4 linked regions of the Drosophila melanogaster genome follow. Changing the gene in region 2 together with the main gene of any one other region gives a genetic interaction. Each region holds a gene or a part of one and is shown on either strand. Other genes may lie near its edges. The genes, in order: twi, Mef2, Pp2B-14D and zfh1.

Region 1 (7,494 bases), about 13 Mb from region 2:
GAACTCAAGTGTTGGAACACAGCCCCCTTTGTGTCTTTTGTGGCCTTTTGCTGTTTGTTTGTCAACAGCAGCGACTGCCAACACTTGAGGGGGCGTGTCAGGCGTGTAGGCGCTTTTTAATTGCACTGAAAACAAAACGCTAAACACTTGTTGGCCGCCTGGATGGCTAGATGGCTGGATGGTTGGATGCCTGATGGCTGGCTGCCTTCCAGCTAGTTGTCGCGTGGCAAGTGGCGGGGTGTCAACCAAACTCTGCAAACAGAAAAGGCCCTGCCGCCGAGCAATTTGTGTTGCAGTTGCCGCCGACGATGTTGCCACTTTGATTGTGCACCATAACTGCGAGGCAGCTTCTATTGTGGAGCTTTTCGTTCCTTTTTTTTTTATGTTTGCCAGCACTGCTGAAGTTTTGCTTTGATCGCATTGTAACATTTTGCGACAGTTTTAGATTGTAATGCGCTCCATGGGAGAAATGGGAATAAGAACAACTCTGAATTGAATCCGAGATTGCAAGTATGACTGGTGCAGTACACAAATTGATAACGACTTCAAAAGAAGTCAGAAAATGTGGAACTCCAGAAGAAAGCAGAACAAATCGAATACTACACAAAACTATATGAAATAAAATAAAGTTGCCAGTAAACAATAGTGCAATAGAGCGGTATATATATCATGACAAAAATCAAATTCAAATTGAACAATGTCTATAAAATGATTTTTTGGCAAACAATAGAGTTTTAAAGATATTTATTAAATCAAATGGCTTTGGGGAGCGGACATGGCTGACATTTATAAAATGTATAACTGCATGTTTTTTGGAACTTGTAATGCCATCGATGGCATTACTAGGCGTTTGATCGACCCGAAATGATTGCCACATTTAATTACCCCGTTCGATCAGATAATGCAGTTAATTTTCAATTTTCCCTTTTTTTTTTGCCCGCACTGAGTTCGATTTATTGTGCGCGTCGTGGGGACAACATGTTTAATTAACGAACACAATGAAGGAGAGTCGCAACAACAGGAGTTTGTCACCGACTTTCGGTGAAATTTCTGACTCTCTGGTGACATTTGAAAAGTTTAAAATAATATAATTTTCGACGCTATATGGCAAACTAACAAGTTCGACCCGGAAGCTCAGCGATGGGCGCTGGCAACTGAGCGATGTGGGTATTTTCGGGGCGTTTGTCTTAGCTAACTTTCCGCCCGGGAAAGGAGAAACTTTTTCGGCTGCACTGTTGCACCCACCCACACACACACACCCATACACACTCTTACTCACACACACGAAGATCTATTGTAAAATATGTAAGAAAGTTTCCTTGGCCTGGGTGGGAAAACGCTGCGTTTTCGGGAAAGCAGCAGCAGCATCGACGTTGTCTTTGGGGAAATTAAACATTTTCTATTTGAAAACTTTGCCGTGTGTGGGGGGCGGGGGGTGTAACGGCATTTGAAGCGGTGGATTTTCCAAAGGTTCAAGAGCAACAGTTGCCTTTTGAACTGTTTCGGGTCGGTCACACTTTGGCACTGCGCTGGATTCCCTTTGTTCCACCCAACAATTGCGGAAGTCATAATTTCTCAGCCGGCCAAGTTTCTGGTTTTTTGACAAATTTAGCTGCAAATTGTCGGCAAAACTTTAGTTCCAGCTTAAAACTGGAATGGGTCTCCAGTCCCGTGCCTTCGGATCCAAATGTCAAGCGGCTTGCTGTCATAGGTGTTGCATATTTAATGCGCCGCCGCCGATGGCAACACACGCGGCACAGCAGCGCTGAGGAGCAGCTGCATCCCCAGCACGGCGATTCGGACAAGTGCACCCAGAGTGCATGCAAATATTTTTGTCAACGATTGTTTTGCCGGCTCCCTCGATTCCGAGTGGCGAGCTGTGACTGCGGGGGCGGGCGGGAAAAGTCCGGGAAAAGCGGGTCAGGGAAAAGGGAGCGAGGACGAGGACAGTGGTAACCCATGTTTTTGTTGTTGCCAACGGTTTGAGTAATTGTCGCTGGTGTGAAAATTGGCAACGATGCCATCGAGCTGGAAAAGGATTTACTGGGTTATGTATGAGCCAAAGGCTGATTGAGATGGAGGAGCAGCTGGATCGAGCTGGAAATGGCCATCGATGGACGTCTATGGCGTTAGCGATGTTGCCAAAACTGAAATATTCATTAGGCCAGCAAAAAAAACCAATTGAGGTCATTTGAAAAGTGGCCTTGCTTAGCAAATCTGTTGAATATTATAAAATGGTGAGAAAGGCACTTGCTTTTAACATAATTAATCCTTTTTTTTCAAGCATAACAGTTTAACAAAAGATCATGAATAGTACGCGAATATATCCCATTAACTAAATTAATTAAAGCCTCGTATAAAGCGAGCAAGCTTTCCTGATTTTGCGTAAATAAAATCAATTAAATAGAGCTAAAAAAAGCACACCCAAACAATATTTGACAAAAGAAAACGTAGATCCAGGGGCAAATTGAAAACACGATTCAGCCCGCCGAAAAAACCCAATAAAATGGTAATAAAAAACCCAGCAACCAAAAATGATTTTCACATTGATAAAAATTAAATGCGATTCGGGGCGAAAGCAATGCGATGTGTTGCATCTGCTGGGACATTATCAAATAATTCAGTTGTAATCCATTTTAATCCGCCTGCCTGGCTGCGAAACCGACCCACTTGACATGGCGAATCATCAAAATGTTTGTTTACTTGCCCCATGCCCCATGCCCCTTGCCCCTCGCCAGCTCTCTCCTGCCACTTTCCTCCATGAAAGTATTTATTTCGACATTTTGCTAAACATTGCCCAGATTTAAATCTGCATTCATGTAAAATTGCATAAATACATGCAAATATCGCTTGATGGAAATGTCCAGCTATATTTCAGTCACCCACGTTTTTTTTACTCTGCAGGAATTATTCAAATATTTAAGCGGCTTAGTGTAATGGCTGGTGAGTTTTGTCTCAAATCGGAGGACGGGTACAAAGCCGCTCTAAGCGAAAAGAATCGATGCGGCTGCTTAAATTATACTTTATAATTTGGGCATATATGTGGATTACCCCAATTGGCAATTGAACGTATAATAGTTCGGTTTTATATTCAATCGATTGCGCACAGGGCGTATTTATCATTCAAAATGTTTCAAATGCCAATATGGATTGTAATACATTGTAATACATATTCTTCTTACATTACAAAATAGATTCTTCGAAAGGTAGATAAGAAGAGTATTCCAAAGCTATTCCGTTTAATTAACAAAGAATCCCATAAAAAGAGGAGCACGCCCTTCACGAAAGTCAGTTAAAGAGAATGTTAGCCCCACTAATCCTCCTGCAGATTGTGGCTCTGCCTTGGTTGGCTCTCGGAGATCAGCGGATCATAAACGGAAACACTGTCAACATTAAGGATGCACCGTGGTATGCCTCCATCATAGTCAATTCGAAGCTCAAGTGCGGTGGTGCCATTATCTCGAAGAACTACATCCTGACTGCCGCCAAGTGTGTGGATGGCTACAGCGCCAGGAGCATACAAGTCAGGTTGGGAACCAGCAGCTGCGGCACTAGTGGATCAATTGCTGGAATCTGTAAGGTCAAAGTTCATAGCCAGTACTCCAGCTGGCGCTTTGACAATAACTTGGCTCTCTTGAAAACCTGCGAGCTACTCAACACCACCGATGAAATAAAGCCAATTGAGAGGGCCGACAAAGTGCCGGATGATAATTCTCGAGCCAATGTGACTGGCTGTGGTGGCAGATCAGGCAATTTCCTTGACCTTATCTTAGACTTAGAGGATTAGCAGCGGAATAGAAGAGAAGTGCTTCCAGCTGCCTGTCCAATTGCACGGCACTCAAGTGCGGATCCTTAGCCAAAAACAGTGCGCCGCCGACTGGAAAGTCATACCATTTTACTTACTCAAGGGAATCTCAGACCTGACCATCTGCACCAAGTCGCCGGGCAAGGGAGCCTGCTCCACAGACAGGGGTTCGCCTCTGGTCATCGACAACAAGCTCGTGGGCATCCTCTCCAGAGCGGGCTGCTCCATTAAGCCCGATGTCTATGCAAATATCCTGGGGCACACGAACTGGCTGGACTCGAATACGAAGGATTAATATCTTACTTGCTGTGAATAGTTTAATGATAATATTACCTTGCCTTCTGTAGATCTATATTTGAATTTGTAAAGCACAGAATAAAGAACATTGCACAATGGCTTAAAGTGAGAAAAATTTTAACACACCGTAAAGTAAAACAAATTAATTTGCTATGCTTTGTGCCAATACTATAAAATTTAAACAGCCTGCTATATGCACATTTATTTGGCATCATGCTTCTGCGATCTCTACCAATTTTCCTTGCACTCTTTGTCCTTTCCAAAAGTGACACGGGTGCAGGTGAAGATTCGGAAGAGGACGACGAAAACGACTGCAACCGGACGACTCTTGGTGGTCATCCCGTGAACATAACCACAGCGCCATGGATTGCTTCCATTTCGATCAAACAAAAGGCCAAGTGCGACGGAGCGATATACAAACTGAGTCACATTGTGACAGCCGGGAAATGTGTGGATGGATTCCTGAACAAGGTGATCCGTGTACGAGTGGGTAGCACTACGCGCAGCGATGGAGTCATCGAAGTAGCAGTCTGCAACATTACAGTTCACGAAAAGTTCACCGGCCAGACAGTATTTCACAATGTGGCCATATTAAAGTTGTGCGAACCGCTCGAGGCCTCCAAAACGATCCAGCCAATTCAGTTGGCCAACCAGCTTCCGTCTAATGGGGCAAAGGTCACGGCCAACGGGTGGCCCTCCTTCAGGTGGTGGGCAATGTATTGGAAGAAGTGTCTGGATGATGAAGCCTACAAGCTGCAGAAGGCCGAGGTGAAGCTACTTGGCCCTAGCCAGTGCACAGATCTGTGGGCGCGAAACAATTGGTCCAAAAAGAATTTTACAGATGACTTGTTCTGCACCGAGAAGTTCGCTAAGGAAGCCTGCTCTTTAGCGATGGGATCACCTGTGGTCCACAATGGCAAACTGGTCGGCATTATAACGAAAGGCGGCTGTTCGGAGTATCCAGAAGTCTATATCAATCTTATAAAGTACAAGGACTGGCTGCATAATCATACAAAGTAAACTTAAGCGTTCTCCCAATTAATTGTTAAAAAATACTTTGCCTTCGAGCTATGACTATGTGCAGATTAGTGCAAGTAATACGCAATACTTCCTATTTTGATAGAGCTTCGAAGTAAAGCCATCACTCAATTTGAGGTATGACTTTGCAGATAAGGAGCTCTAGCCTTGAAAACGACTTAACTTTTCCTATAAAAAGAGTCGCACATGCAGCTCTAAAAATCAGTTGTTTATAATGATTTGGAGTGTGTTCTTATTTCTGTTGGCTGCTCTTTTACGGCCGGTTCGTGGTGATCTGGATGCCCAAAGCCGCATCATTGGAGGTTATGATGTGGATATTGAAGATGCCCCGTACCAGGCGGAAGTAATAATAGATGGCACAGCAATATGCAGTGGGGCGATCATCACATCAGACACCATCATCACAGCAGCTTCGTGTGTCCAGTCCTACGGTTCAATTGAAGTACGCGTGGGCACCAGTTCCCGCGATTATGATGGAACTGGATTCCTGCTCGAAGTCTGTGAAATAATTAATCACCCGCAGTACAATTGCTGGCGTTTCGATAACAATCTGGCACTGTTGAAGTTGTGCGATCCGCTCAAGACCTCCGAAGCTATTCAGCCCATCAGCATAGCAGAGGATGAACCGGACGATGGTTCGTGGTGCACTGTCTCCGGCTGGGGATCCACCAGTTGGTGGGGCAGCTGGTGGGACAGGTGCTTCGGCAGTCTGCCGGACTATCTGCAGATGGCATGGGTCAGCGTCTACAATCGGGAGCAGTGCGCCGCGGATCGCGGTGTTTGGTTCGGACTCTGGGACAATGGCATCTCGTACCTTACCCTCTGCACTCATAATGGCGCCGGAGGATGCTCCTACGATACGGGAGCTCCCTTGGTGATAGATGGACAACTCGTGGGCATTCTATCCGAAGGCGGCTGCACCACCAAACCAGATGTCTACGCCAATGTACCTTGGTTCACAGGTTGGATTGCCGAGAACACCGAAGATGAGGATACAACCGCTTCGACAAGTACTTCTAGTGATAGTAGTACCACTGTGGCTAGCACTACAACTGCTACTGTACCGAGCACTGTACCTAGTTCTGAACCTAGCACAGAACCTGTTGCAGTACCTAGTACTGAACCTTCCACCAGTACCGTACCCAGTACCATATCTAGTACCTTACCTAGTACAGTCTCTAGTACCTTACCTAGTGCAGTCTCTAGTACCTTACCTAGTACAGTCTCTAGTACCTTACCTAGTGCAGTCTCTAGTACCTTACCTAGTACCTTATCTAGTACTACATCTAGTACTTTACCTAGTACAGTATCTAGTACCTTACCTAGTACCTTAGCCAGTACTGTATCTACTACCTTATCTAGTACTGTATCTAGTACCTTACCTAGGATTGAAGAAATTACTGTACCAAGTACTGTAGCCAGTACGGTGCCTAGTACTGTGCAAAGTGCTGAGCCGAGTTCTTTACCTAGTACTGAACAGGTTACCATACCAAGTACTGTACCTAGTACTGTGACGAGCACTATAAAGAGTACTGAACCGAGTACTGAAGCCAGTACTGTACCTACTACTGTACCCAGTACTGTGACGAGTACTATAGCGAGTACTGAACCCAGCACTGTACCCAATACTGTGACGAGTACTATAGCGAGTACTGAAGCCAGTACTGTACCTACTACTGAACCCAGTACTGTGACGAGTACTATAGCGAGTACTGAACCCAGTAGTGCGGCATCTAGTACAGTACCTGGTAATGCCCCAAGTACTTTAGCCAGTGCAATACCTAGTACTCCCTTTACTACGTTGAGTCCTTCGCCTAGCATAATAACTACGATCATGACGGCAACTGAACCAATATCTACTGAAAGTCCTGATACCGAGGGATAATAAAGAAGGTCTATTATAATAATATAATTAACACTCCTTAATAAAAGAAACTGTGACATCAGCTTTCATGTCGAGCTTAGCTTGTTTTGCCCTCGTGCGTTTTCGGTTCTTTCTGTCACCGAAACCACAATCCTTGGACTGGACTCCGAGTGTCTAAGCCAGTGTCTATGGAAATGTCACCTAAAACAGCCCTTGGACATTTGCATTATTCATGCTGGTCAAGTCAAACAGAAGCAGAATGGAAGTACCTAAGCGCGGTATGACAAAACCGAAATACCCTTTAACAAAAAATTAGGATTACATTTTCCAGGAACTATACAGTTGGCAGTTGGAGATGGTCAAAAAATACAGAAGTAAATAACCTTGAGTTGCTTCGGATAGGATTAGAACCAAATGAGCTCGATAAAATTTCCAGAACTTCTCGTGCTTAAGTTAATTAAAGTTTATTTTTTGGTCGGCCAGCAAAAAG
Region 2 (7,674 bases):
CATACTAATCGTACTGATCGTTTTATCGGAGATCTGCATTTTGTGCGGCCGGTAGCACGAACAACTCAACTAGTATCTAATCTGGCAAGAATTTCAAGTTTCCGAAAACTCTTTATAAATCAATTGGTCACGTCGTTCGCGGGGAATACATAGTATAGTAATGGGCATACACTGGTGTTTGTTTAGTCAAGCGGCACTTCAAGTGGTGCAGGTGTGGGCCTCTGCGAAAACAATCGAGAATGGCAGCAGAAATATTTGACTAATTGCGGCTAAAAAGTTAAGAGAAATGGGCGAAGAGACCTACGTAGACTAATCACCGCAACGGAATGTGGCGAGAAAACAAAGGATGTGCGGAATCATCCGTGGCCCGGGGACAAAAGAACTTAACACGGTTTTCATTGCAACAATCTACCATTTGCGGTTGCTGCATTTCACTGGGTCAACGGCAAAGGCGGCACTTGAGCAGGATGCCAGCAGGACGAATGGAATGAAGGAAGAAAGGAAGGCAGGAAGGTAGGAAGGATGTGCCGAGTCTGTTCCATTGGTGGATGTGTGTCAAGACATTTGTCTTGTGGCCGGGCAATTAAAACGAAGCAAACTGCCGCCACACGTTTGCCAGCTTCACCATTTAATTGGCCCAAAGACTGCGACGGCATCATTAGGCAAATGGCCAAGAACAAATCTCAAGAACGTGGGTGTTTTGCCCAGCTCCTCTGATTTGCAGTTTCTCTCAATTTCTCTGTTGGACCGGACTGGGTGGGAAGCCTTCTGCTTAGCAACTTTTGCGCTTTCCCTAATTGTTTGGACCAACAAAGGCGGGGACATTATCGATTTGATTTAGTGAATCACGCTCTGCGGCTTTTTCTCCGATGAGCAGGCATTAAAAGGCGAAAACTTGTTGCTCGCCTTGATTGCGCTCAATTAGCATTTGTTGCGGCCAAATTTATGCAAATGTTAAACTTTTCCGTATTTTGGAGGAATGAACCCCGTACCGATTCAAAAACCAGTTGCGATCGCAATGAGATGAGCCGATCTGAATGCAATCTCTCACCGTCTGGAGCTTTCAGCCTCAATTAGAGCGACAGAGATCGCGAACGAGAGACCTTTCATAAATTCCGTTTTTATGGCTGCTGACCGGCCAAATTTCAAGTTTAAAAAACTCCGAATTTATCACCTCAATTTCAAATAATAACCATTCCGTGGGTTTATACGCACGTTGGCCTGACCAGTGAGTGTTCTAGATATATATTTGTTAATTTTTCTTAATTCACTAGCTCTGCTCTTTTCGGCCTGTCTTGACTTCCTTGGTCGCAGCTCACTTTCACTTTTCATCAACCAGATCAGATCCGTCAATGTCCCCGACTTTTGTTATTGTTGTTAATGTGCCGCAGTTAACGCATTCCTGGGACCCCGGTTATAAATCTTGACTTAATTAAAGACACGCGCGCGCGTTTTAAGACGCGATGAAAACGACTCATTGCGTACTGCCAATGAGGCGGAACTTTTTTTTGTAGTCTTCGGGGGCGGTCGGAAGTTGAGTTTAGAACTGTAAATTACGAGCAAAGATGCTGGGGATAGCCATCAATACCAATTGGGGACGAAGAGATGAGGATAGGATTGCGTTTGAAGAATAGATTTTAAAAACTGACGAGTTGAGAAACTAAAATGAACTTGTCATAAAATCTACATTTCAATTCAAACTACCTCATATCTTATTAACATTTACATCTATTTTTAGTATATTATTTATATATTATAAAATATTATCCACAACTTACACACACTTTGTGAATACGACGCTCGTGGTAAATGCTAAAGGCAAATGATAAATGCTTTTGAGATAAAATGTGCCTGTTTGAAGCAAGTGAAATATCGGCAAACTTCGATTTCCAATATTTTTGCAAGCAATCGCATTGGCTCCGCGATATCTGGCTCTCTTCCTGCACCGCGTTTATCAACAATTTCGATTGCAGAAATGCCAGCAAAAGCAAAAGAATCCAAGGTTTTTGTTTTTCGCCCCGAAACACGCGTCTCATGTTAAGGTAGTCGAACAAATTTGAGTTCTCGGGCCCCGAGTCACCTAGAAGTACACCTAGAGCACTTCTATCTTATCGCCAGCACCTACACAGCCGCAAAAGCGGGCGGAGTGTGGGGGAGGGAGCTAAACCAAAACACAGGCGCAAACAGAAAGAAATCGTTATAATAATAATAATTATTATTATTTTTATTTTTATATACAATATATGTGGGGGAGCGCGGCGGCAATAACCATAATTATCACAGACACTCGAGAGCCGCAAACACGGCAAATGGCAAAGGAACATTTATTTTTTTAATAACTACACCAACACATCGACCAGATTGTGCTTCATTTGGCTTGTCAGTGAGCGTGGGCACCTTCACATGCGCACGTGTGATAAGAAAGACTCTCGCTCTCGATGGCAGATAGTGGCCGCAAAAAAAAAAAAACACGAGCAAATAAAACAAATTTTGATTTCGAATTTTTTATCAAGCACCGAAAACGCCAACAACAAACGTAACTCAACTATTTTTCGTTGAAAATTTGCCAACAAATTATTTTGACCTGATAAGATGTCGTTTGTGGGTTTTCCTTCATGGATTGTATTCTTTATTTTACTTGCAGTTTTTCAGAATCGTGTGTCATTTTTGAATTTCAAAACTAATTGAAAGGCATCCAAAAAAAAAAAACAGTTAAAACATTTATTTTTTCGCTTAACTTATGAAGCTTTAGGTATTGGAAATAACTAAATTGTTATAGAATGAGATAAATAATAATGAAATAATAAAGAAAATAAATAAATAATATTATAATTTCTCTATTGATGGAACACTTAAAATACAAAAAAGAAAATAAATAAATAATATTATAATTTCTCTATTGATGGAACACTTAAAATACAAACGCGACCCAAACGTGACTACACCAAATAGTGTTAAAGATCTCGGAGGTTAATGATGGTCGTGATGATGGTCCGAACGTGAACGTGATCGGAGGTGGGGTCCCGTTATCTAGGCTCTGCAATGCCGAATGACCGTAATCGTTTATCGGCGATCGCCGTGGCTAAGTCCACGGCAAATCTGCGGTGATTATCGCCTTCGAATGGCTTTGTTTGTTATTTGAACCCACTGCTCCCTGGATCGAAACGAAATTCCCCTACTCCCTTCCCACGCGACCCCCCTTATGATCCTGCGTAGGTGTCAAAGTGCATTGCACGCATGTCCAGCTGCCTGAGGCGAGATAAGAGAAAATATAATTCTCTGTGCATTTGCTGCTGGCTGAAACAAAGTGCAGACAATTATCAGCAAATTCGCCAATCAGCCAGCCAGCCAGCCAGCCAGTCAATCAGTCAGTTAGTCGGTTGGTCGGTCGGTCGGCCATAAAAACTACATGCAAAAGAACTTGATAGCAGGGAAATGGATTTGAACTTCGCCGGAGGAGTACGGTTCTCGCGGGCCCTCAATATTGATACGAAAATCGCTTATCAGTGGAACGTATATAGTATTTGTGTGTGCGTGTTCGCCCGTCCGAGTGTATGGCAGCTACTCTCAGCATTAAATCGCAAGAAAAGAAATTGAAACATCGAATGATATCAATTGAAAGGGAACTGTTTGAACTGGAATCAAGACAGCGAGGCACAATTCGAAAACCCGGCCGATATCTCTTTTTTTTTTCTTCGGAATCCCAACGTTTGGCTCAGCGATGACGTCAGTGTGCATGGGTAACTTGCTTATTTGGTTCCCGACATGCCGGCTGCCAGTGTTTTTGTAATTGTAAATTATATATAATCAAATTGCCCTATCGGCATATGAAAGGAGGGGTTTACAGCCCATCGATGATCTGTAAATAATTACTAAGCCTTTGGGCGGAATAATAGCTCAATGAGCAAAGGTGGATATGATAACCAAAATTAGGTTTTATAATTCATAATTTATAATTAATTTAACAATGTGTCTCAAAAGTATGACTAACCGAAAATCACTTATAATGTAATGAGGCATTCAATTGGATTTTATGACGCTCATAAATATAAGTCAAATGGTTATCACAAACAGGAAAAATTATTCTTAATACAAGAATGAAAATCTTTCTACCCATTTCGCAAAGGTACTTTGGTTTTAAAAACTAGTTTTCAAACCAAAAACATTCCTCATTGCAGTAGATAAACTTACATGAATCGCTTTTTAGCTGAGCTTCCGTTTTCTCGAAAAAATGTTCTCAAAAATACACTACTCAATAGAAACCGACGAGTTTTGAACTTTTCTGGGGATGTCAGGTCGCTGGCGAGGTGTTTGCACAAATGTTTCCGAGCACACACACGAAAATCTTTGCAATTGAGATGCAAATTGAATTATTGTTTGAATTCTGGCTTTGTTTACGCCGCTCGTTCGATAAACATCGGGGCGAAATGCAGTCAGTGATATGTTTGCTGTTGTGTTTGTCGTGTGCTTTAGCTTTTTGTAAATATAAACAAAGTCCGGGCAGGCGGGGGCGGGGATGTCGCGGCCGCGGTTGGCGCAAATAAAAGTTAAAAATAAAAACTTATAATTGTCCGACGGCTGTTGTTATTTTTATTATTGTTGCCATTTATTTTTGGAAATAGACGTTGAATTTGTTTATATGGAGTAAAAATAAATTATTGCGCGTAGTGCGAGAGCAGCGGGCCAGCATAATTTCTCGCGGCGTTCGATATAGGATCTCTATCTGTTGTGAATCGCTAGCGGAATCGGATCGTTGGATCGTTGGCTCGGAATGAAAATATCGAACTCGCAAACGGATCGCAAACTGATCTGCCGAAATCGAATCGAATCGAAATCTCAAAATCTCGAAATCCCGAAAACCGAAAAACTGAAGAAGCGGCGCTGCGGACGCGTACAAACGTACTGACGGATATGCCGTCGTTGACGTCGTAACGCCAAGTACGCACACACAGATACGCCCGCACACAGCTGCACTGCGCCAGGCTCTCTCGCAGTCGCACACTAACACACACACGCACAGCCAGCAACGAACACGTATACGTAGGCTGGCGGTGAGGATTTTCGTTTCGTGGTGAACTCACTCACACGCGCACACCTTCTAACGGTGCCTTTTGTTTTTGCCTTTTTGTGTAACAGAATATCGCACACATACATTGCCGGGCAATCGGAGAGCGGGAGAGACGGAGAGAGTGCGCAGCCGCTGACTTTGAGTTCCTACTCACAACGAAAGCAAGAGTGAGCGAGAGGTGGCGGGGGGTTAGAGTGTGGGGCTGGTGGGGGTGAGTGAGTAATTCGGTTTGTGAGTGAGTGCGTGCGGGAGTCGAACGAGAAACATATGGTTTTTGTTTGTGCCCCAGCCAGACACACACACACGCACACTCACCCACACACTTGATCAATCAGCAACAGTTACAGTTAGTTCCCTCGCCGAGCTTGTTGTCCCGCTCTGGCAACCTCCCATAAATGTTAATTATCCCCCACTTCACCACCCCCATTAACTACACCCCTGCTAAACATCGCTTTGGTTTCCGTTTTCCTTTGTATCCGTATCTCCCTGCCCTGCCAGGACCTCTCCCCTCCCGCTTTGCCCACTATCTGGTTTTTTTTTTGTGTGTATTTTATTTATTTGTCCTTGCCACTGGATCCTCTCTATAAACACCCACCCACCATTAGTTTTCCCCTTCGACGCAGCTTAATAAAAACTTTGTTGACCTGCGTTTGGCAGTAGAAAAAAAGGTAAGTATATACTCGATACCCTGTTACAAAAGATGGGGCATACTTACTGGCTGTGGTTACGCCTTTTAGAAACGCGAAGTATGATATAACTATCATTAAAATTAATTTCATTTTTAATAGGTTATATTAACTTTGGAATTGTGACAGCTGTTTAGCTTCTTAGCTCCGATGTGAACGTAAACTAGAATGTTGAACTTGATTCAGAAAAAATAAAGCGTAAATCCTTTTTTCATTTGTTACCTAATTTTGTGCGATACAACATACAACATATCCTGTAATTCGTCTGCTGGCGGGTACACAAAACAAACAGGAAGGAATCGGAAGGGACAAAGAGTAGGACCCGTAGGATCCTAGGGTGTGCGGCAACCAACGATTCATTGTTTCTGCTCGATTGATGATTGCCTATTCAGACAGAGGTAAAGTAGTTGTATGGCTGAAGTTGGGGCTTAATTTGTGAATCGGACCGCCAGCCAGCCAAGTGGGATCCAAAGCCCTGTGACCCAGACCCTGTCTATTGTTGCGTTAAGCGAGATATTATTTACCTTAAACACGCTCTATTATGCAGGTTATGTAGGCGAAAAGATAATAAAGTAGGGATACATGTACCCCAACTTGATCCCAATAGAGTTTATTACAAAAATCGACTTTTATAAAAGCAGGAAAATTGGGAACGTTGTATGTGATTAGTCCACATCTGGGAGGCAAATAAAAGCTGTGGCTACTTTCCAGCCATCTATAGTTCTAACCCATATAGGAAATGATTTTGCGTCTATTTATACATAATAAAAATATTTCCAATAGCGAGAATTTTAGTGATTAGCCATTACCATATGGCATTTAAATCAATAAGAAAATATATTAAAAGATTTTCTTGTTTACTGTAAGTTGCGATTTAATAACTGGAGTGATAGTTAAAACACAGACAAAAGGACATTAAGGGAGGTGAAATCTTAAGGAATGCCCATATTGCAGTTGCAGTTAAGTGGACGCAACTTTAACGTGACTTTCCGAGTAATATGCGAATGCCAGATGCCGCAGATATTGCTCCGCCCCGTCGAGTGAATGGATTCTGTAAAAATCACGCATAACCGATACCAAGTGCAGCGCGACCAAGTTACCCGTTTTATGGCCCTCGCCTCTCGGCGGCGCCACAATGTTGCATTTTGAGAACCGAACCCAGCAGCAAACGATCCATGTGTGTATATCCGAAGATCCCTTTCTCACTTCCACTCCCATTACCATTCCCATTTCCATTTCCATTTCCATTCTGATTCCCGTTTGCAGTGTCCTTGTGACTTTTAACGCTTCCACTGGGTGCGACAACTGCCAACTGCAAACAGTCGTCGACAGTCTTAATTCAATAAACGCCGCCCGGCGATTTGCGCATGACCATGTACCCCGATGCTGTGCGCCGTACGGTTGATGCTGCATGTTGCATGCACTCAACACATGTGCAACATGCGGCATCTGCGGCAGTAGCAGCAGCAGCAGCATCGGCCTCAATGTGCGTTGAGTCCGACTTTAACTGCTTGGCAGGGGTTTCTTCAGGGGGATCTTTGAGTACCCCAAGCCAAGACAAGCCAAACCACGTGAAACTCATCTCCACGCCACTGCCCTCCGCCGATGATGTTTTTGTAAACGCTGCGTAGGTAATTTCATAAATCTCATTCAAATTGCCCTTCGTGCCATGCCCATCTTGCAGATACCCAGCAGTAGAACAGCTCCAAGTGTATCCGGAGGGTTGTAAGCATACGGAATTACAGGAAAAACATCTTTTTAATTGCTCGTCGAGATTTCGAAATTGAAAAATGTCTGCGGTGGTATCAATTATGCAAATGCTGGGCCCCGAAAAAAAAAGCAATTGAAGTTCAGTTCAGCTCAAGTGATTTCGACTCGGAAAAGTCTCCGGGGAGCTGGTCGACTTTCTGCCAAAAGAGA
Region 3 (10,680 bases), on a different chromosome or scaffold from region 2:
TAAGACCAGCTATATCATTTTTCCCGGTGCAGCATTTCCTTGCGTTTTTACTGCTGTGACTTATCGAATTCGGACCGTTATCACAAAACAAAAATTTTTGAATTAGTTTTGATTATTTGGTTTAGGACCAGCTAAATCATTTTTCTCGGTGCAGCATTTGCTTGCGCTTTTACTGTTGTGGTTTATCGGACGCTTATCGAAATCGGACCGTTATCACAATACAAAAATTCTGGGCCTGCGATAAGAACTGATTGTCGGAAATTTTATGGAAGTGTTGGTGTGTGCCAGTGTCGCTCTTTCGACAAATATGTAGGTGTGGGAGATACTGAGTAACGCTGGAATCGTGAGTAATCCACTGATTAGTCAAGCGGAGAGCAAGAAGAAGAGTGGGGAAGCGGAATATAAAGGAGAGGAAGAGGCAATCGCGTAATTGCAACTGCTGCAACTGCTTGACTAACCGCGACGTCAACGCCCGCTGGCCAGCAAGCAGTGAAATAAGCAGCAGCAGCAGAAGCGCTGCTTAGTCCACAAGAAGAAGAAAACGAAAGAAGCGCAGCCAACAACACTCGAAATGTGTGTCACACACCAGTCGTTGGTGATGGTGTGGGTGTGTGCGCTCTGTTTTCACCGCTTGTGGGTGATGTGGGCGGTGCGGGTGGTGACTTTCCCGTTATCTTACCCCAGTGCCGTTATCACAGACGATAACATTTCGACCCTTGCTGTCCATGCTTGAAGGACTCAAAACCGGATCTCTGGAAAACCACTGCTTCTGCTACTCCCGTTGCTTCTGCCTCTGCTGTGGCAACTGCCTTTCCACTTCCACTGATGACGCGACCAGGTTGCCTTTTTGGGTGTTGGTTGTGATTCGGTTTGAAATCACAGCTCGCAGCGCCTCTGCTCGATAAAACCAAACAAAATATTGCACATCAATCGCCTTTCCTGTTGACTTCCTGGGCCGTTTGTTGAGCACTACTGTTAATTGATTCCTTTTCGGCTTTTTTTGTATTTGGACCGCCGGAGAGCGATTGTACTTAATCATACACTTTCCTCTTCCACTCGCACACTCTCACAACACGCGGGCGGGAACCTTGCTCTCTTCGCCACTCTATCGCTTACGTTTATCGCCGCTTCGTTTGGCGGTTATTGGGAATTGAACTCTTAATTTAGACTCGCAATTAAATTTAGGCCGAAACAGTTTGCCGCTATCGACTATTTATACTTATAATTTAGTTATACTGCTGTACAAAAACTCCCTCGTTACTCCCCAGAGTTGAATAAAAATAGATGCATATTCGATACTATCGGCGTTGGACTGAAGCGTACAAAACACCGAAAATAAATACCAGAACCGTTTAGATACTAGATCCAATTATATTTTTTTATTATTTTACAAATTTGTTAATTAAGTTTACTAGTCTGTGTGCCACTTTTAACAATTTAAAAAAGATTAAAAAATACAAGTTTATTAGTAATATATGTTACTTGCACAGGATTTACACAAAACAATTTCAATTCAATTAAGACTTTATTAATTAAATTATTGGATTAAAGATTTGGCAATTTAACAACTAATCACATCTATTTGAAAAACCAATTCGGCAATTGCTGAAATTTCAAAATACTCACATTGATTTCTGGTATTTTTCGTTTGCGCTCTTGCCTCTCGTTCACTCTCATACTTGGAAAAATATTCTTGAATTAAGACTTAAAACAGGTTCAAAATTTGGCGCCATCATTGAATACATGCATGTATTTAAAGAATTGTAATTTAAGCAATTAAGAAGAAAAATGATAACTTGACAATACTGCTCCCAAGGATAAAAAGTTAAGTGATCGAACGCCATAAAATGGAAAGTTTGTTGCTGATTTATTTTATTCCGTTTATATAGTATGTATATGTATGTATAATTTAATAATATAATAAACGTTACTCATTTGTTATCTTTATAATTGCTTTAAGAGGCGAAATGTCTTATATATGTATGTATATACCATGCAGCCGTCTCGTTCCCGCATTTTTTGATTCTGCTTTTGTCTGGGTATTATGTGTTATATTGAACGTTTTAATGCTTTTTAAATAGTTCCCATAAGTATGTTGGCATGGTCTTGACGTACATATTATCAAAATCTACTCATCTCCTCCTCAGCCGTTCTATTCAATTATTTACTTTTACTATGTGCCAGGAAGTTTTGCCTATGCCTCATGCAATAGTTATGTACTTTCTTTATCGAGGGAACTAAGCAAATGTATTGTTAGTCATACATAGTGTAGAATTATTAATACTTCTTAGCTTTATTATTTACCATGGCTCTTGATACACTCGGAATGCAAATCGCCCTAAGAGAATCCAAAATTTACAATTAATTTATTTCAGAAAATTATCTGAATATTGCCTACGTTTAATGGCTTAAAATGTATAGTTCTTTGATAATTAAACTATATTAAAAAAAAAAAATTAAAACTTAATTGTTGACCTATGCGTATTTTGGTATTAACAATTGAAATAAATATTTGTTGTTTTTCAAAAATTATACCTGAAATGTTGTCCATCAATAGAAACATTTGTTTATAGCCTAACAATATGGAATTTAGTTTTCAATTTCATTATTTTAAATCCGTAAAAACCCATACTTGTTGAAAATATTTGCGGCGATTTTCGAACATAAATGCCGATTGATTTTCTGAGTGTATACAATCATTCTATGGAATTGGTGTTCTTGGCGTTCAATACTCGAGACTATTGCAATTAAATGTGATTTGGGGGAACTCCCATTTCACTCGACTAACTAACTAAGTATGCATTTGCGGTGTAACAACATTAACAATTTTAACCACATATAGAACAGAAACTCTGAAACTTAAACGGCCCAACAGCTTTCATCAACTTTCAATAATTATATAGTTGTGGTGGAGGATTAACAAAAAAAAAAAACGCTATATATATATCTATATAAATATGGTGTATCTCTCAATTAGTTGAGTAAGTTGTTTCCATTTCTCCATCTTTTTTTTTTTTATAAAAGCTAAGAGGGAAACTCTGCGACTGCCGCCTCATCCTTGATTTGTTTCTTTTAGCTACGATTTAATTAATCTTGGTATTGTTACGATACGTGCATAGATCACTAAAACTAACTGTTTTCCAATGCCAACTCGGTATATAATATATATATATATCTGTATAAATATTTAGATTAGAGTTCAATGCAATTATTGGTGGTTGAAGAGTCGAAGCAAAAGTACAGCGTTAATATTCTTGGTTCGTGGATAATATGATCTCGATGAAGGCATTTCTTGCGTGAGTATGTATGTGGTATATCTTATAGCTTTTGATTTCGCATTGATAGTGGTTGTGATTAGTGATAAAGGAGAAGCTGATATCATCGGTTTTTGGGAAGAGGTGTAGGCGCAAATTGAGAACTTGATTGCCATCATTATCATTGAATTGATCTGAAACGCCGAAACTCATCCGTTTCTCATGTGTGTGCCATGCCTTATACTTACTTAAATACATCTCATTCGCTTAATCTCATTGCAATTAGCTCATACTAAGTCAAGGAAAATAAGTTTTGTGTTTGTGTGTGTGTGTGTGCTAGCGCTCTTTCTCTCTCAACAAAAATCGATTCGCTAAATTAGTTAATTAATTAATCGTTTAGTTCAATTTACACGCAGAAATATATTATACGTTATTAGGTTTACACAGTAATTTAATAGTTAAATATTTGATTTGCTATTTAAATGGTAAACGATCCGTTCTTTCAGTGTTCAAAATGCATTCACATCAATGGAAATCGATCGATCCTATTCATCAATTTATTAATTAGCTAGACTGTGATCCTCAAACAACGATTATCATCTTGTGTGATCTCTTATGGATTTTTGCTGCTTTTTCTTTGCTTTTGCTTTTGCCATTTGGTTGGTTTTTTTTTGTTTTTTGTTTTTTGTTCGCCAAGCTACTGATAAAACGCAAATAGTTAGTTATACACACACAGTCGTACACGTAAAATGTAACATATTAAGTCAAAAGTTAGATTATGCAACAATAATACATATACATATATTTAAGTATATATTTAAAAAAAAAAAAATAAACTCTGATTTCACTTTCAATGTTTAATTCGTATAAGGAACATTTATGGACTATTGCGGCACATATTGCAAATGGTTTCGAATTTGTTTGCTTGTTTCATTCGTTTCTTCTATGCAAGATTACATTTCTAGAGTTCAAGGATTACGATTATTACAAAAAATGACCTTTGCTCATTTCAAATTTCATTACACTTTCGGTTGCATCTCGGCACTGCGCCTCGATATTTCTAAATAATCATATGTATACATATATGTACGCTTCTTTTTTGCCGCTGCTAAATGTTTGGAACAGATTAGCGCTGGATTTTGTTTCCCATATCTCTTCAATTGGATTAGTGTTTCTTGCCTCTGGGGATTATGGGGATTCTGCTGGGGTTTTTCATCTTAAATTATCGCATTATCGCAGGGGGAGGGATTTCAATTAGCTCTTTCCGTTTTGTTCATTTTCCATTTTAAAATTTGCCCATTTCAGTTTATAGTTTATACATTACAACTTAAGCTAGGTTATGGGTTACGTTATGGGTTGGTTTTCTTCTATCGCGAAAGGGAATTTTCCGTTTTGGGGGCCGGCGCGCCAAAGTATGCCACACATAATTTTAATATCCAATGTGCGCGCGCCTGCGTAAAAACAAATCTCTGCTCCGTGCCGTCGGTTTGGAGGCTCTGGGCCATGGACATAGACATGGGCATGGAGCTGGTGCGGGATCACATACGAAATGCAGGGGGTTATGACAATTACTTAGAATTAGAATTGGTTTTAGTATTTAAGTTGTTGCTCTGCCACATTAAGTTTAATTAAGGTTCCGTTCGGTTGGTGTTCTTTGTGTTGCCTCCGCTCCGCTCCACTCAGCCCCTCCTTCAGACCAATTCAGACCTCGCCAGACTCCACCGTGCCGCATCTGCATCTGCATCCTCGTCCTGCAGCCGCACTAGATGGCACAGCTTACCCATGTCCAGCCCCATTTTTGCCGCCCTGCTGACTGTGCTGATTCGGATCCTCGCTGGGCGTGGGCGGCTGATCCCGCCGCGGCGGCATCCGTTCGTTGACGGCATCCAGGCCCTTGGCCTCCGCGAACGAGGTAATCTTGTGGTTGGGCGAGAAGCCCTGCATGGCGTTCTTGAGCGACTGCTTGCCGCCGGAGAGGGCGCCGAGGGGCAGGGCGCCCGTGGGCGTCAGGCCCTTCAGCTGCAGCACCGACTCGGACTCCTCGCGCAGCACGGAGAAGACGCGCGCCATCTTGCCAATGGCACGGATCTTGTTGCGTATCACCTCCTTGCGCAGCGCCGCCTCGTCGTCGGAGAGCGGCTCCTCGCTCTCCTCGGTCATGAGCTCGTCGTCGGAGCAGATGTTCAGCACGTTCACCAACATCTCGGTGACCTTCTCGCCCACGAAGGGTAGCGACCAGGTGAACACGTCCATGAAGTTGGGCAGCCAGTACGGGTGCGGCGAGCAGTTGAATTGCCGGATGTTCATCACGTTGTTCTCGTACTTCAGCACCGCCGCCTTGTTGTTGTACACGTCGAGATAGTTGGGCGCCGAGAAGATGGTGATCAGCGAGGGGAAGCCGGTGGTCTGGCTTTTGCGGTACATGCGGTAGCCGGCGTCCTGCGCCTCGTGCGCCCGGATGATCGACAGCAGGTTGTTGTTCTGCAGGAAGTCGCAGCAGGCGGCGTAGCTGTAGAAGTACGAGCATCCGCGCACGGAGTTGTGCGTGTAGAAGTCCGAGTTCTTCTCGTTGCCAAAGTCCTCCAGGGGATCGGACCACAGCAGGTCGCACATGGGGCCAAAGGCGGGCGGCTCCTTGAAGCGGTCGAGCCGCCGGATGTCCTCCAGCTCGTGTATCTCCGGCGACAGACCGCCGTGCACGCAGAGGAACTGCTGGTTCATTAGCGCCGCCAGCGGCAGGCAGTCGAATGCGTCCATGCAGGCGTCGTACACGCGCTCCGAGTACTTGATCTTGCACTCCTGCTTGAAGGTGAAGTACTCGGTTAAGTGCCGGCACTCGTGGTTGCCGCGCAGCAGGAACAGCGTCTGCGGATAGGTGATCTTTAGCGACCACAAATACAGGACGCACTCGATGCTGAAGTAGCCCCGATCGACGTAGTCGCCCAGGAACAGATACTTGGTGCTCGCGGGCGAGCCGCCCACTTCGAACAGCTTCATCAGGTCGTAGAACTGGCCGTGGATATCACCGCACACCGTCACCGGCGCCTCAATATCGATCATCGTCTTCTCCTGACGCAGCAGGGCGGCTCCGTCCTGGATGATTTTCAGGGCGGGCGCCTCCTCGATTCTGCCCTCAAGAATGAAGTGCTGCTTGAGCAGCTCATGGTTGGGCTTGCCGGTGCGTTGGTCGAACACCTCCGCCAAGGTCAGCTTGTGGCTGGGCGGGAAGGGAACGCTGTCCACCACCCGTTCCTTGGTGTTTACTGCCGTGTGGCCGCCGTGCAGCTTTCCAGTGCTCGCTCCTGTGCCCGTTCCAGTGGTGGGACTGCTGTTGTCGCTGTTGTTGCCCGCTGCAGCGGTACTGCTGCTATTATTGTTGTTGTTCGAGGCGGTACTATTGGCATCTGTGGCTTCCGCCGATCCGGCACTGACGGTGCGGGCACTTGTTGCCGCCTGGGCAACGCTGCTGCTCTGGTTATTCGAAGACATGGTTGAGACTTCTGTTTCTGTTTCGGTTTTTGGCTCTGCTTCTACGGCTACTGCTTCCCGTTTCCTTTTTCCTGGTTTCTATTCCGGGATTCGGAATCGGACTGCTCCTCTCCCGCTCCCACTTCCACTAGCTCGCTCTCCCGCTCTCGCTCTCCCGCTCTCGCTCTCTCACGGCTCAGTTCTGTTTCCACTACCCACACACACGCACACGCACACTCGCTCACTCACTCACTCACACTCTGGTACTTTCCCTGGCTGCTGCTGCTGCTGCTGTGTGGTTGTTGCTGCTGCTCCTACTGTTGTTGCTATTGTTGCTGTTGTTGTTGGAGTGCCTGGTGAGCCGCTTTATCGCCTTCCAGCTTTGATTCGCTTTCCTTTACTTTCCGCTGGCTTTGCTTTGATTTTGGAACGCTGACTCCGCTGCTTTCTTCCGTGGCCTGCGCCGCTGGCCTAGCCGTTTTCCAAAAGTGCTGCTTTCACTTAACAACAATCATAGTCACTCTGTTTCAGTATTTGCTACTTTTTTCGCTTCGGCCCTGCAGACGTCGTAATTTCTCTCTTTCGCTACGTTTTTTTTCTCGCTTTTTTTAATGGAATTTTCTGCAGTGTGGCCGTGGCTCAAAAGCTCAAACTTACTACACGGCCGCTGGAATGTGTACTCTAGTCGAGACTCGCACCTGGAATGGAAGTCATGGAAGTAGTCGAGTAAGGTACGTGCAAAATTATATCTTTCTCTGTATATTTAATATTCTAAATGAATACGCTTACTTTTATCTCCTTTCTAACAATATATTCACTTTAAAGATGTAGATGGTGGCGCAAAATTAAAATCTGAACAAATTCCGCACAGCAATGTACCACAAGGTGCTAAACTTTGATAATTATATCCAATTGGACTTGGTACATATTCAAAATGTCAACTGGAAAACATTTTATTTTAAAAAAGCTTAAGCTATCAATTAAGCCGTTCATCTTAATTATTCTTTAAACGTAGTTAACTAAACATTATAAAATGAATTAAAATTAGAGAATATGAGAGCCCAGATGCTGAATTTATCAATATAGGTAAAAACCTCATTATTGAAATTCTTGGCCACCTGTCGGTTTCGCCCCACTTACACTTACCTCTTCCTTAATTTTCGAGCAAATTCTGGACATTACTCACTCAGTCCACCACTTCTCCAGCCTTCTACTGGTGGATATGCTTCCCGGGATTAAATATGTATATGCTTATTCTGAAATTCCCCGGTGGCGAAATCGACTCAAACGAACTTTTAGAGGAAATAATAAATGTGCGCGCATTTTATTCTCAGGATAGGTACTTGTATATTTTTTTTAATGTTTTTGTATTTCTTTTTTGGTTGTTTTTGTTTTTTTTTTTTGCTTGTTCTTTTTTTTTCGTTTTTGTTAATATTAATTATGTTAATAACATTGATAATCATTTTGTTTTCATTGGGTTTCTTCATTTTGTTTTGCATTCACTTAAGGTTAAAACTTGTTGTCTGCATTTTGTTGTTGCCTTCATTTATTCTCCATCGTCTACATCTCCATTATCATCATCTTTATCTTGTAAATTAATTTGTTATCTTCCTTGGATTGCGTACAATTTTTGTCACAACGGCGCAAATTTTATGTAATTTTTGCCAGCCAGCTGCCCCTTGCAATACAGTTTATAAATTTGTTTATCCATTAACTTTGGTTTCGGTTTAATAATAAAATTGAAAATTTTTAAGAGATTTATCTAGATGTGATGTTTTCTTGTTTGTTAATTTGTTATGTTGCATTTTTAATATTATTTATTTGGTTTTTGGTTTTCCTTTCCCATCTTCCATCCATTTGTTTTTTGTTTTTCTTTAATATAAGTATATAAACTTTTTGCTTTGACAAAGTTTTTCCAACTTATATTTATCATACATGTTATATATAAATAAATGTTTAAATATATATAAAATATGCATTTAAATTGATTTATCCAAAAGGTAAAGTTTTAATTGTTTTTTGGTTTTTTCTTCACTTGGTTTTTCTTGTTTTTTTTTTGTTTTTGCTTTTCTTTGTCCATTTCTTTTTTGTTTATAATATATATTAAATTGTTTTCTTTTTCGTGTAAAGTTTTTAAAGCATTCGAGGGCAGGAAGTAGATGTTGAAAAATACATGTATCAAAAAAATTAAGGTAACGTATATAATTACATACATACATACATATGATGAAAAGGTTTTCATTCGCATTGCAATGGATGAGATGAGTGGAAACGAAAAACAAGAAATCTTCCCATTTTCTCTTTATTCTCGTTAAATTTAATAAGTGTATATACGATTATAAAAAAAAAAAACAATTGGTTAACAAAATGGCTTACTTAAAGCGACTTAAATATTTGATTGTACATAGTAGTTCAAGCTAATCGATAAACTAACAGTCTAACGGAAATTTAAAAAAAAAAACTCTAAAAACATTTATGTTCAATATGCGATTTATTCGATATCGAACTGAGTGTGGAATTGATTGTAATCGGCCATTCTAATTTTAACTTTCGGCTGAAATTTGAGTATAGTTTTTATGGGTATTTTTTTATCACGTCTTGGCTATCTTTAAATATCATTCTCTGGGTTTTGAAACCACTTAAAAAACTGCCTAGACGCGTGCTATGAAAGACTTTTCAAATCAAAATTGTTTTGTTTTTCATATCATACTAAGAGGCAGCTTTCGAAATGGTTTCAAAACTCAAGGGATTTTACAAAAACGGTGCCGAAAGTCAAGTTCGAAATAGGACCCATTCGTTTTTATATTGAAATTGTGGTTTGCTGTAGTTGGTAATTTGGTTTTAACTTTATATTCGCTTCCTCTTCTTCTCTTGTATTTCCTATTCATATATGGTGTAGTAGAAAATGTACCGATAAAAAGTGTTATTTTCCTTTGCTTTTGGTATGGTTTTCGCATTTTTGCTGGGTCCTCTTCTGAGGTCACCGAAACGACAGAGAGAAAGACATAGAGATAGAGAGAGAGAAAAGATAAAGGGTCAAGGTCGAAGTCGAGTCGGGAGTTTCACAGTGCGAGAGAGACGGAGAGAGATAGAGAGAGAGAGAGAGAGAGAGAGAGAGAAAAGAAGAGCAGGACAACAGGAGAATGGAGAGGTTAGAGCGAGAGGGGTAGTCGTTAATATAATTTTGTTTCGCTTTTGTTTAGTTCTTAGGCTTCGTGTATATAGTATAAAAGTATTTTTATATATTATTTGCTTACTCGTAATATGTTATATATTTTGGTTTTTGGTTTCTTCTCATATATGTGTATATTAATTAAATTTACTTTGGTTTTTGCATTTGCTTTTTTTATGTTAGAAGAGCGCGCTAATTTGTAATTTTGCTTTTTTCCTTTTTTTTTTATTGTGGGAACGTTGGAGGAGAGAAAAGTATTCAGTTATATGCTATACATATGTATACGGGTTGCGGTAATTTGTTAAAAAGTTCTCATTTACTTTAAAAATAATAGTAAGAGCTTGCTTGCTGTAATCCATTATTGTAATTATTGTTTATAATATTTGTATTATTCGTATTCTTGATTTTTCATTGAATCGAAATGCATAAACGTCTTGTAAATTGTTGTGTCTGTGTGTGAAACGCTTAACATTAGATCGGTTTATATTGTATATGGATATATATATATATATATATATATATATATATATATATATATGTAAATATATATAAATGTAAATCATCTGTAACCATTAACTGCTTGATGACGTAGCCGCTGATGCGCATGGGCAACCGCGCAAAGGCAAAAAACACGCGAGGAAGAAGCGGCAAGTGGAAAATGTCCAGTGGAAACGGAGCCAAAAGCATGCTTTCTTCTTGATTGGTGCTCTGCTCGCCAAGCATGCTTTCCATCACCTCGCTCGCAAAAAGCATGCGGCGTGTATTTGTTTGTGTGTGGGGTGTTCG
Region 4 (7,468 bases), on a different chromosome or scaffold from region 2:
CCTATAAATAGAGTTCTCCTTTCTGCCCTTTCTGCTTTATTTGTTTGTTCAGCAAGCTGATGCTGCGTGCTGCTTGCTGCTTGCTGCTTGCTGCCTGCTGCATGTTGCACGTTGCACGTTGCTAGTTGCTAGTTGCTGCTGCCACGTTTATTTTATTTGTAGCATTTTGCTTTGCTGAGTGTGAAATTTTAATAGCCAAGCGAGCCGTGTCCGCGTTCGTGTCCCTGTCCTTTTTTCCCTGCATCTGCACAAATGTACATATTGTACATATGTACATATATAGTAGGTCTATCTGGAGGGTAGGGAAACATATGTGTCCCGGGGCGAACTATTTCTGCGATTTACCTTGAAAAAATATGCAGAAACGCGTGTGATGTCGTGGTGTGGGCGTTCTACGCTCTGAAATTGGAGTTGCAATGCGTTGGCGAGCCGAAAGCAATTAGAGAAATATGCCGCAGAGGTGTTCAAAGCAGGGGAAATCGTGAAGGAAATATGCCCGGCCATCCATGAGATACTTTGGCATCTTGTTCCTCAAAGGGAGCGAAATAGTTACTTTAATTAGTTTGAATAATATTCGAAAAATCTTAATAACGCACAAACTAAATTCGCCATTTTAAAGAGATCTCTGAAATACTTTAACGATTACATTTGTCAGAATAGCAATAGTTATGAGTTATTTAAAAATTGGCATATTAATTTACATATATATAAATACCAAACTGAATACCAAAAACCGAAGCTTCAGCCAGTTGAAACGTACTTCATTAATTCAGCAAGTACAACCAAAGTTGGGCTTAACTTGGCTAATTGATATTCACTTGGTCCTCTCGACTCGTGTATAAATTGTACGCGCTCGAAAAAAAAACAACTCCGAAATAAAGCCCATCGAGTGCAATTGAAACTTTTTCAGTTGGCGCTACCACAATAGAGCTGTTGACTATTTTTGTTTATTTAAAACTTTTAACAATTATTGTGCAATTGTGCGAAATTTATTGCAATTGAACGCCAATCAGAAGGGAAGTGCCCTTCTGAACCCTCTCCACTCGCCAATTTCATGGCTTTCCCTGGGTTTTCCACTCCGGTTTTTCTCAATGCCAGCACCCGTTAACCAAAATCGTTTACATGTTAAATTGTGCCTGCTCACTCCTTTTTTTTTAGAGCCTCCTCTTTGGCGCTGCAATTTTGCCTGCCCTTTGGCAACACCTTTTTTAAGGGGGTGTTGCAAGGGTTGGGTGGCAGGGGGCACCCTTTTGTTTGCGCCGATTTTTTGGCACTTTTTTTTCGGGGGATAGCACGGGTAGCAATTGTTGTCTCGTGGAGAGCGGCGGGCATTAAATAAATAAGAAAAAATATATTCGCAAGGAGGCGGGCTGCATTCCGTGCAATTTTCACTTTACAACTGTTTCAAAGTTATCTTTGTTTCAATTGTGTGCACGACGGCGGCAAAAAGCGAGCAGCAAAAAATATTGGCAAACAATTTACTTTTTGGCCAAAATGCGAAATAAAAGTAAAATGTGGCAAATAATTTGCCCAAAGCTGCGGCAGGTTGAACACGGAATAAAGGGAATCTGCAGCAGGATATCAAAGAGGACTTTCCCCTCATTGATTTATTGTCCTTTTGTGCTGGTTGCAAATGGGGAGCTTCCTTTTTTTTTTTTGCTCTGTAGCCTGGCTCAATTGCAATTTAAAGACACAGTCTGTTTATTTTGGGCAAAGTCGGGCCGAAGTCTCCAACTCCACTTGAGATAGGCATCGGCAAAATTAATCATCTTTGCATGCCAGTTGCCAGATAGTTTGTGGGGCCAAGTTTGTTTAATTTCGATTACCAGCTGACGGGGCAGAGTCCTGTGCCCGGTGAAAGATGCAGGATGAGCCGGCCAGGAGTTATAAATGGCAGCACCGACAGCACCAGCATATAAAACTGACATCCACTGACAGCAGCCAAAATGATTAATTAGACAGGAGGCAATCTTGTTGCTGGTGGAACACACACACTAGGTAGGTATTCCCAATCGAAGATGCAAATGTCAGATAAATGTTTAATTTCTGCTCAGGGCTTCGATGGGCGAAAATGGGAATGGAAATTGGCGCTGATTTATACATAGAGTATATTTAGAGTATATTTAGCTAAGGGGCGTAGTCGAAGGTGATAACAGGCGACAGGTTTTCGCCAGGGCGAAATCTTTGATTTACGGCATTTTGGAGCCGTTTCGAAATGCGACACAACACACGCCGAGCAGCCGGAAAATTAGTACAACTTGACTAGCTGGCTGGCTGACTAGCTGGCTGGCTGGCTGGCGTTTTCCCCCGGCTTTTCCAAAAGCCCAGCGAACAGCATTTCGTATGTAGCCGGCGATTAATATCCATCGCAGTCGCAGCTGCCCAGCGCCATCAAGCAGCTCGGTTTGCCCAGGGAAGAGACGGAAAACAAGCGGAAAGTATATGGATCGAAGATATGTGGGCCAACCTGTGCGCAGCCATCTCTGATCGATTAGCCAAACTATCGTGTTCGAGGGCTTTTAGTTCCGCCCACAGAGAACGGAGCTGCTTAAATAGCCATAAATTATAATTTATGGCAGCGGTGTTGCCACCGTTTCAACCGTTTCCACCGAACATGTGCAATTAATCCGTCTCTTTAGCTGGCTTATCAATTGTCAGAGTCGGAGGAGTGGAGCACCGAACGAATCGTGGGCGTTTCCCCAGCATTGCGCCATCCCCAATGCTCCCCAACTAAGCGTTTTCAATTAATTTCGGCTCTTTCTCACACCTTCCATTTCAACCGATGAGCTCTGCCCACTGACAGTTTTATGCTTTGTTTACACTCGATAAACAGAGTGGCAAGCGACCAGCAATATGGCCATAAAACAGGTTCTTAAATGGAGGTGCGGCATCGCGGTAATGGTGTTGGCCAAGTTAGCTACCTGTCGTCTGCTGTTTCAGCCTGCGCATGCGGTTTTCCTGGTCAGGGGTAGCTCTACCTGGTTCTCGGTGGGTGGAGATTACTGGCAAGGCGGCGGTGCTGTTTCGGCGGTGCCAACAAATCAAATTGAGATGTGGCTGCAATTGGTCGGCCACTGGGAGGAACAGAGAGGTGGCTATGCTATGCAATGCAGGGAATAATGCCATTATTCAAGATCGACTGGCCGACTTTCATGTGTGAAGAGCGTGATATGACCAATAGATATAAGAAATCGAATGATCTGCCATGTTAAACCGTACTAATTTTAACTATATTGTAGTTTTAGCTCATGGAAAAGGACTTTCGTAGCTGAAAACCAGCGAATGATTATAGTTGAACAACAATAAGTTCTTTAAGTTCTCAAAGCGTATAGAAGTTGCACAAAGTGACCCAGTTTTCTCTCAGTGTGCTGATCGGGCAAACTTTTTCGGTTTCGGGCTCGCTCTCTCCTTTTTGAGAACCGGAGCCCGTTCTCTGCGTAGGAGTAGGTAATGGTAATTCGAGACCTGCCTCGATCCTTACTCGCCGTTTATGAGTTTGTTTTTCTATAGCTACTCATTCTTATGATCCCCTGAAGGTGGAGACCACACATATACCCAAGATGGCGGATGGTTTCTGGGAAACTGCTAAGCTTGCATGTGGGGATCTTCAAATCGAAGCTACCGAGTCTTGGCGCGCGAATCACTTGAACACAAAGTTCTATGGCACGGCTGATTGGTGATAATGGAGGCGGTTTGCGGATGAATCACCCGAGATCTGTGCTCCAGATCCGCGTTCTGATCACTTACACTGCATGGCGAAGGGGGAGGTGGAGGGCATGCTCTGCTGAATGATGGTATCCTCTTGGCCGAAACGTGAAGACGACGGCGCCAGACAGGACAACATTTGGAATGCTTGTTGCAACACTTGCTCTACTTTGATGCGGATAGTTTGTTTGGCTAGTTGGCTAGTTGGCTAGTGGGTTCTTCTGGGCTCGGCGTTATTTCTTTCTTATAGAGCACACACGTGTTGTGGCGGCCATTTGGGCAAGGGCCTTGGGTTTTTTATCTTTCGAACATGGGAAACACTGGGATTTTTCTTCGCGATGCGCCGCTGCGAGTGTCGCGTTTGTTTTTATTTTGTGGGCGATTTCACTGATCTGCGTTCTATATCTGCGTGATTCTACTGTGTGCTGCTCAGAGTTTTCTCTGTGGGTGAGCGACGCGTGTGCTGCCGTCGCGACGTCTACGATGCAACTGAATTCAGAGTTCTAAGTTTCGAAGCATCAAGCCAAATCCGAGAACGAAACAGAGACCGACGTCCTCTACCGAATCCGTCGGATGCGAACTGTGAGTTTCGGGCGAGGGCGATACGGCGGGGTTCTACGTTTCCACGGAGAGCGAGTGAGAGAGGGCGGCGCTGTTTGTGTGTGTGCTCCGTGCCACCACCAGCATAATATAACGGTGTAACGGTTCACCGTTCCGATGTACGAGGTGATTCGGGCGGGGGTAGTGTGGTTGGTGCTCTAATGCTCTGATGGGTGGTGTGTTGGTGGTGGTGCCAGAGAAGCGAGAGCGCTTCATTCTTAACATAACAGCTCTCTGTTATCGCATATCGTAAATGTTAAGCGCTGTTAGTGCCGCTCCTCTCGGTTATCCCGTGACGTAAGCACTACGTAAGGGTGGCCTCTTTTGTTCATCGTGCTGCTCGTAAACATATGGCCGTTATGCGGGATTTGACTATATTAACATTTGCACAAAATTTCGTTTTTATTGATAAAGCGACTTATGAGTCTTTCCATTAACTTTTCCGCCAACCGTCAAATTTATTTCGGTGTTATTTTATTAATACTCTGTGCTGCTGGGTATCAATATTAAAGTGTAGAGCTTAAGTGATTTACATATTTAATTGTTATAATTAGGAAATATTTTTAATAAACAGTTTAATACTCAACAATAAATAGGAATTATCTGAAATTCCCAGAATTGAACAGCAATAAGATAGTTTAATTATATACTTGTATTATAATTTTTTAAGTCTTTCCGGTAAATCAAGTTTATGACAAAATATTCCCCGTGTGGGAATTACACACATATGTATGCATATCGCTATGATTAATTCCCCACTCAAGAAAGCTTTCGATCGTTTTTCTTTCGGGTAAATTTGGCGGTGCGAGATAAAGGGGATTTCTTTTTTCCAGGGAATCCCTTAACCCTTTCCTGGCCACATCGCTGCGTTAACGGACAAAATCATTTGCACTTGCGATTGCAAAATTTCCTCTGCTGCGATTTCCGAGTAAGAAATACCGAAATCGTTCCGCGATTGCCACACATTAATGACATCGTTTGCTGATGGGCGAGTTCTTGAGAATGTCCATCAATGGACACGTCTACAAAATGACAGAAGAACAGAGATCCAAGAGATCCCGGACAACCGAAGAATTCTAACGAAGAGAGCAGAATGCGAGTGGCTTGATTCTTTGGCTCCATCAACAAGTTTTGGCGGCCCCTTGGGATGTTGCTTTTTTTGTACTTTATATTTTGCTGCTCAAAGAAACATATAGATTTGAAAACTAAAAGTATAAATGGATAAAAAGATATTTATGGTAACAGAAATTGTGTTATCGAAAAAAAAAGCGAAACATGCTCTCTTTGATAAAAAGCAAAAACAAAAGGCGGACTCGACAACATAATAAACAATTTGTACATTAATTTTTAATGCGGTTAACATGTGTTCCCCCTTCTCCCTCACACACCCATACACTCACAAACGCGGTCGCTACGTGTGTGTAAGTGTAAAATAGGTGGAGCTTCATAATTTTCTCACTTGAAACGTACTGCCATGAGCGGGAAAGAGAGCGCCGGCGGTGCAAGCGAGAGAGAGGGAGAGAGAGATAGCCGCCGGAGAGGCCGCTTTTTTTTTGTTGCCTCGCATTCATTTTGTATGTTAATTAGTTGCCGTTCACTCGCGTGCGCGTGTGTTGAGTATCTGTGTGAGGTGGCGTGGGTGTTTAATGAGAAGCGAGCAAGGTGCGCACATTGGTCGTCCATCGGTTGCACCTGTTGCGCTCGTTCGATTGGCGGAAAAGCCCCAGGGAAAATTGGAGGCTGATGAAGTGGGAAAATGACTCAATAAGATATATGCGAGAATGAATCAGAATAGATATTTATGTCTGGACTTGAAAATAATTCATCTCTTGCAATGAGCTCGTACCTCCCCGAGTTTTGTAGATCTTAATCCGCCTTCATAAGTATATATTTTTAATCAGGATCAGGACGATTGCTGTTTCCCAGCACTTCCTGTTCCTGTTCCCCCAGGAGTTGCCCTCATTAACCACTTAATTGACACACATCCGAATCGAAATGCATCCGAGTTCAATGGCGAGTACCTTCAATTACCACGTCCCGCATTCGCACTCAAGGATTTTCTTCCCAGGCTCTCGAAGGCAACACCCACTGTAGGTTCTTTATTTAAATTGGATTTGTCGATCATTTTCCGATTGCTACTAGCTTGGGCTTCCACGACTTTGGAAATTCTCACCCACCGCTGCTGGTACCCACATAAAATAGAGTTAGCTAAGTACTTTCGATGGTTCCGCATTGACGTCATCGACGGAGGAATCAATTAATTTCACTTTACAATCGTCGGATCGACGAGAAGATGAAGCAAAGGACTCTGGGAAAAGGCAATCCTTTTCGGGGTGTTTGCTGTAAATCTCAGATCTCCAGATGGGTCATCGCATTCCCACACTCCTTGGGATTGAATTGCATGCATGTTTCTCGTTTTTCCACAATTTTTAATTAGCAGTAAACTTTGCGCGGCCCCGAAAAACAAAAGAACCCGAAACCAATTCAATTCGAAACCGAACCGAAAAGTAATGACAGCGTAAATACTTTTCAGAATGTGGTGGTTCTATATGGCATAGAAAGTGGTGTGGTGTGGTGGTGGTGGTGGTGGTGCTGCTGGTGCTGGCCTCGGTGGTGCAGAGTGATGCACATTTTTGGGGTCGCCACAAACATCGGACTCTCGGCATCGGAATCGAAATCTCAAGTGTCCTCTGTTCTGCGGCCGCCTTTGCCTCATTTCGTTTAACACTTTATGTGACATTTAAGTGGCGGCGGGGAAATGTCAAATTTCCTCATCGTCCCCAAAATGCATGTACAGCGGTCTGAGCCCCATTTTCCCCCTTCTATTTTTCAAGGGTTAGAACTTGATTGGGGCGGTGGTTTTAGTCAAGTGTGTGGTTCTCGTGTGGGAAGATTTTCCCCCTCGTGAAAAGTGCTCGTTCCAGGCGCAAAGTGCGATTCCTGGTTTGATTTTCGTGGAAAGCAGCGTAAACTGATTGGTTATTGTCTTGGAAATAATGAAATATTATAAGCAGCGAGGGTTACAGTTGCCACTAATTTAGGCAATTAATAAAATGTCGAAAATCATTAATAGCTAACCTTAAGGTTTATAGTTATTCAAATTTTTAGTGAACTATTTAATAAGACAATTTGATTGACTCACACTAGCGCCCCGCTTGCCTGC

The links.
Region 1: of Mef2 (region 2) and twi, changing one enhances a phenotype caused by changing the other (phenotypic enhancement), as found in Drosophila melanogaster (one study listed by BioGRID).
Region 3: of Mef2 (region 2) and Pp2B-14D, changing one suppresses a phenotype caused by changing the other (phenotypic suppression), as found in Drosophila melanogaster (one study listed by BioGRID).
Region 4: of Mef2 (region 2) and zfh1, changing one suppresses a phenotype caused by changing the other (phenotypic suppression), as found in Drosophila melanogaster (one study listed by BioGRID).

Annotation. Positions count from the first base shown.
Region 1 is NT_033778.4:22,982,136-22,989,629, reverse strand, and holds the start of twi (twist), read right to left. Parts: upstream 4,257-7,494; 5' UTR 4,139-4,256; exon of another isoform or gene 4,101-4,138; coding exon of another isoform or gene 3,302-4,100; exon of another isoform or gene 3,081-3,301; intron 1-3,080. Other genes in the region: CG32833 (uncharacterized protein), read left to right, coding at 4,316-5,122; CG32834 (uncharacterized protein), read left to right, coding at 5,355-7,025. UniProt on the Drosophila melanogaster protein: Involved in the establishment and dorsoventral patterning of germ layers in the embryo.
Region 2 is NT_033778.4:9,924,709-9,932,382, forward strand, and holds the start of Mef2 (myocyte enhancer factor 2), read right to left. Parts: upstream 4,908-7,674; 5' UTR 4,192-4,907; intron 2,162-4,191; 5' UTR 1,779-2,161; intron 1-1,778. UniProt on the Drosophila melanogaster protein: Transcription factor that could be a key player in early mesoderm differentiation and may be required for subsequent cell fate specifications within the somatic and visceral/heart mesodermal layers.
Region 3 is NC_004354.4:16,552,665-16,563,344, forward strand, and holds Pp2B-14D (protein phosphatase 2B at 14D), read right to left. Parts: upstream 7,353-10,680; 5' UTR 6,744-7,352; coding exon 5,031-6,743; 3' UTR 1,963-5,030; downstream 1-1,962. Other genes in the region: Arp2 (Actin-related protein 2), read right to left, coding at 680-727. UniProt on the Drosophila melanogaster protein: Calcium-dependent, calmodulin-stimulated protein phosphatase. This subunit may have a role in the calmodulin activation of calcineurin.
Region 4 is NT_033777.3:30,762,660-30,770,127, reverse strand, and holds the start of zfh1 (Zn finger homeodomain 1), read right to left. Parts: upstream 4,203-7,468; 5' UTR 3,845-4,202; coding exon 3,748-3,844; intron 1-3,747. UniProt on the Drosophila melanogaster protein: Involved in the development of the embryonic central nervous system, embryonic mesoderm and adult musculature.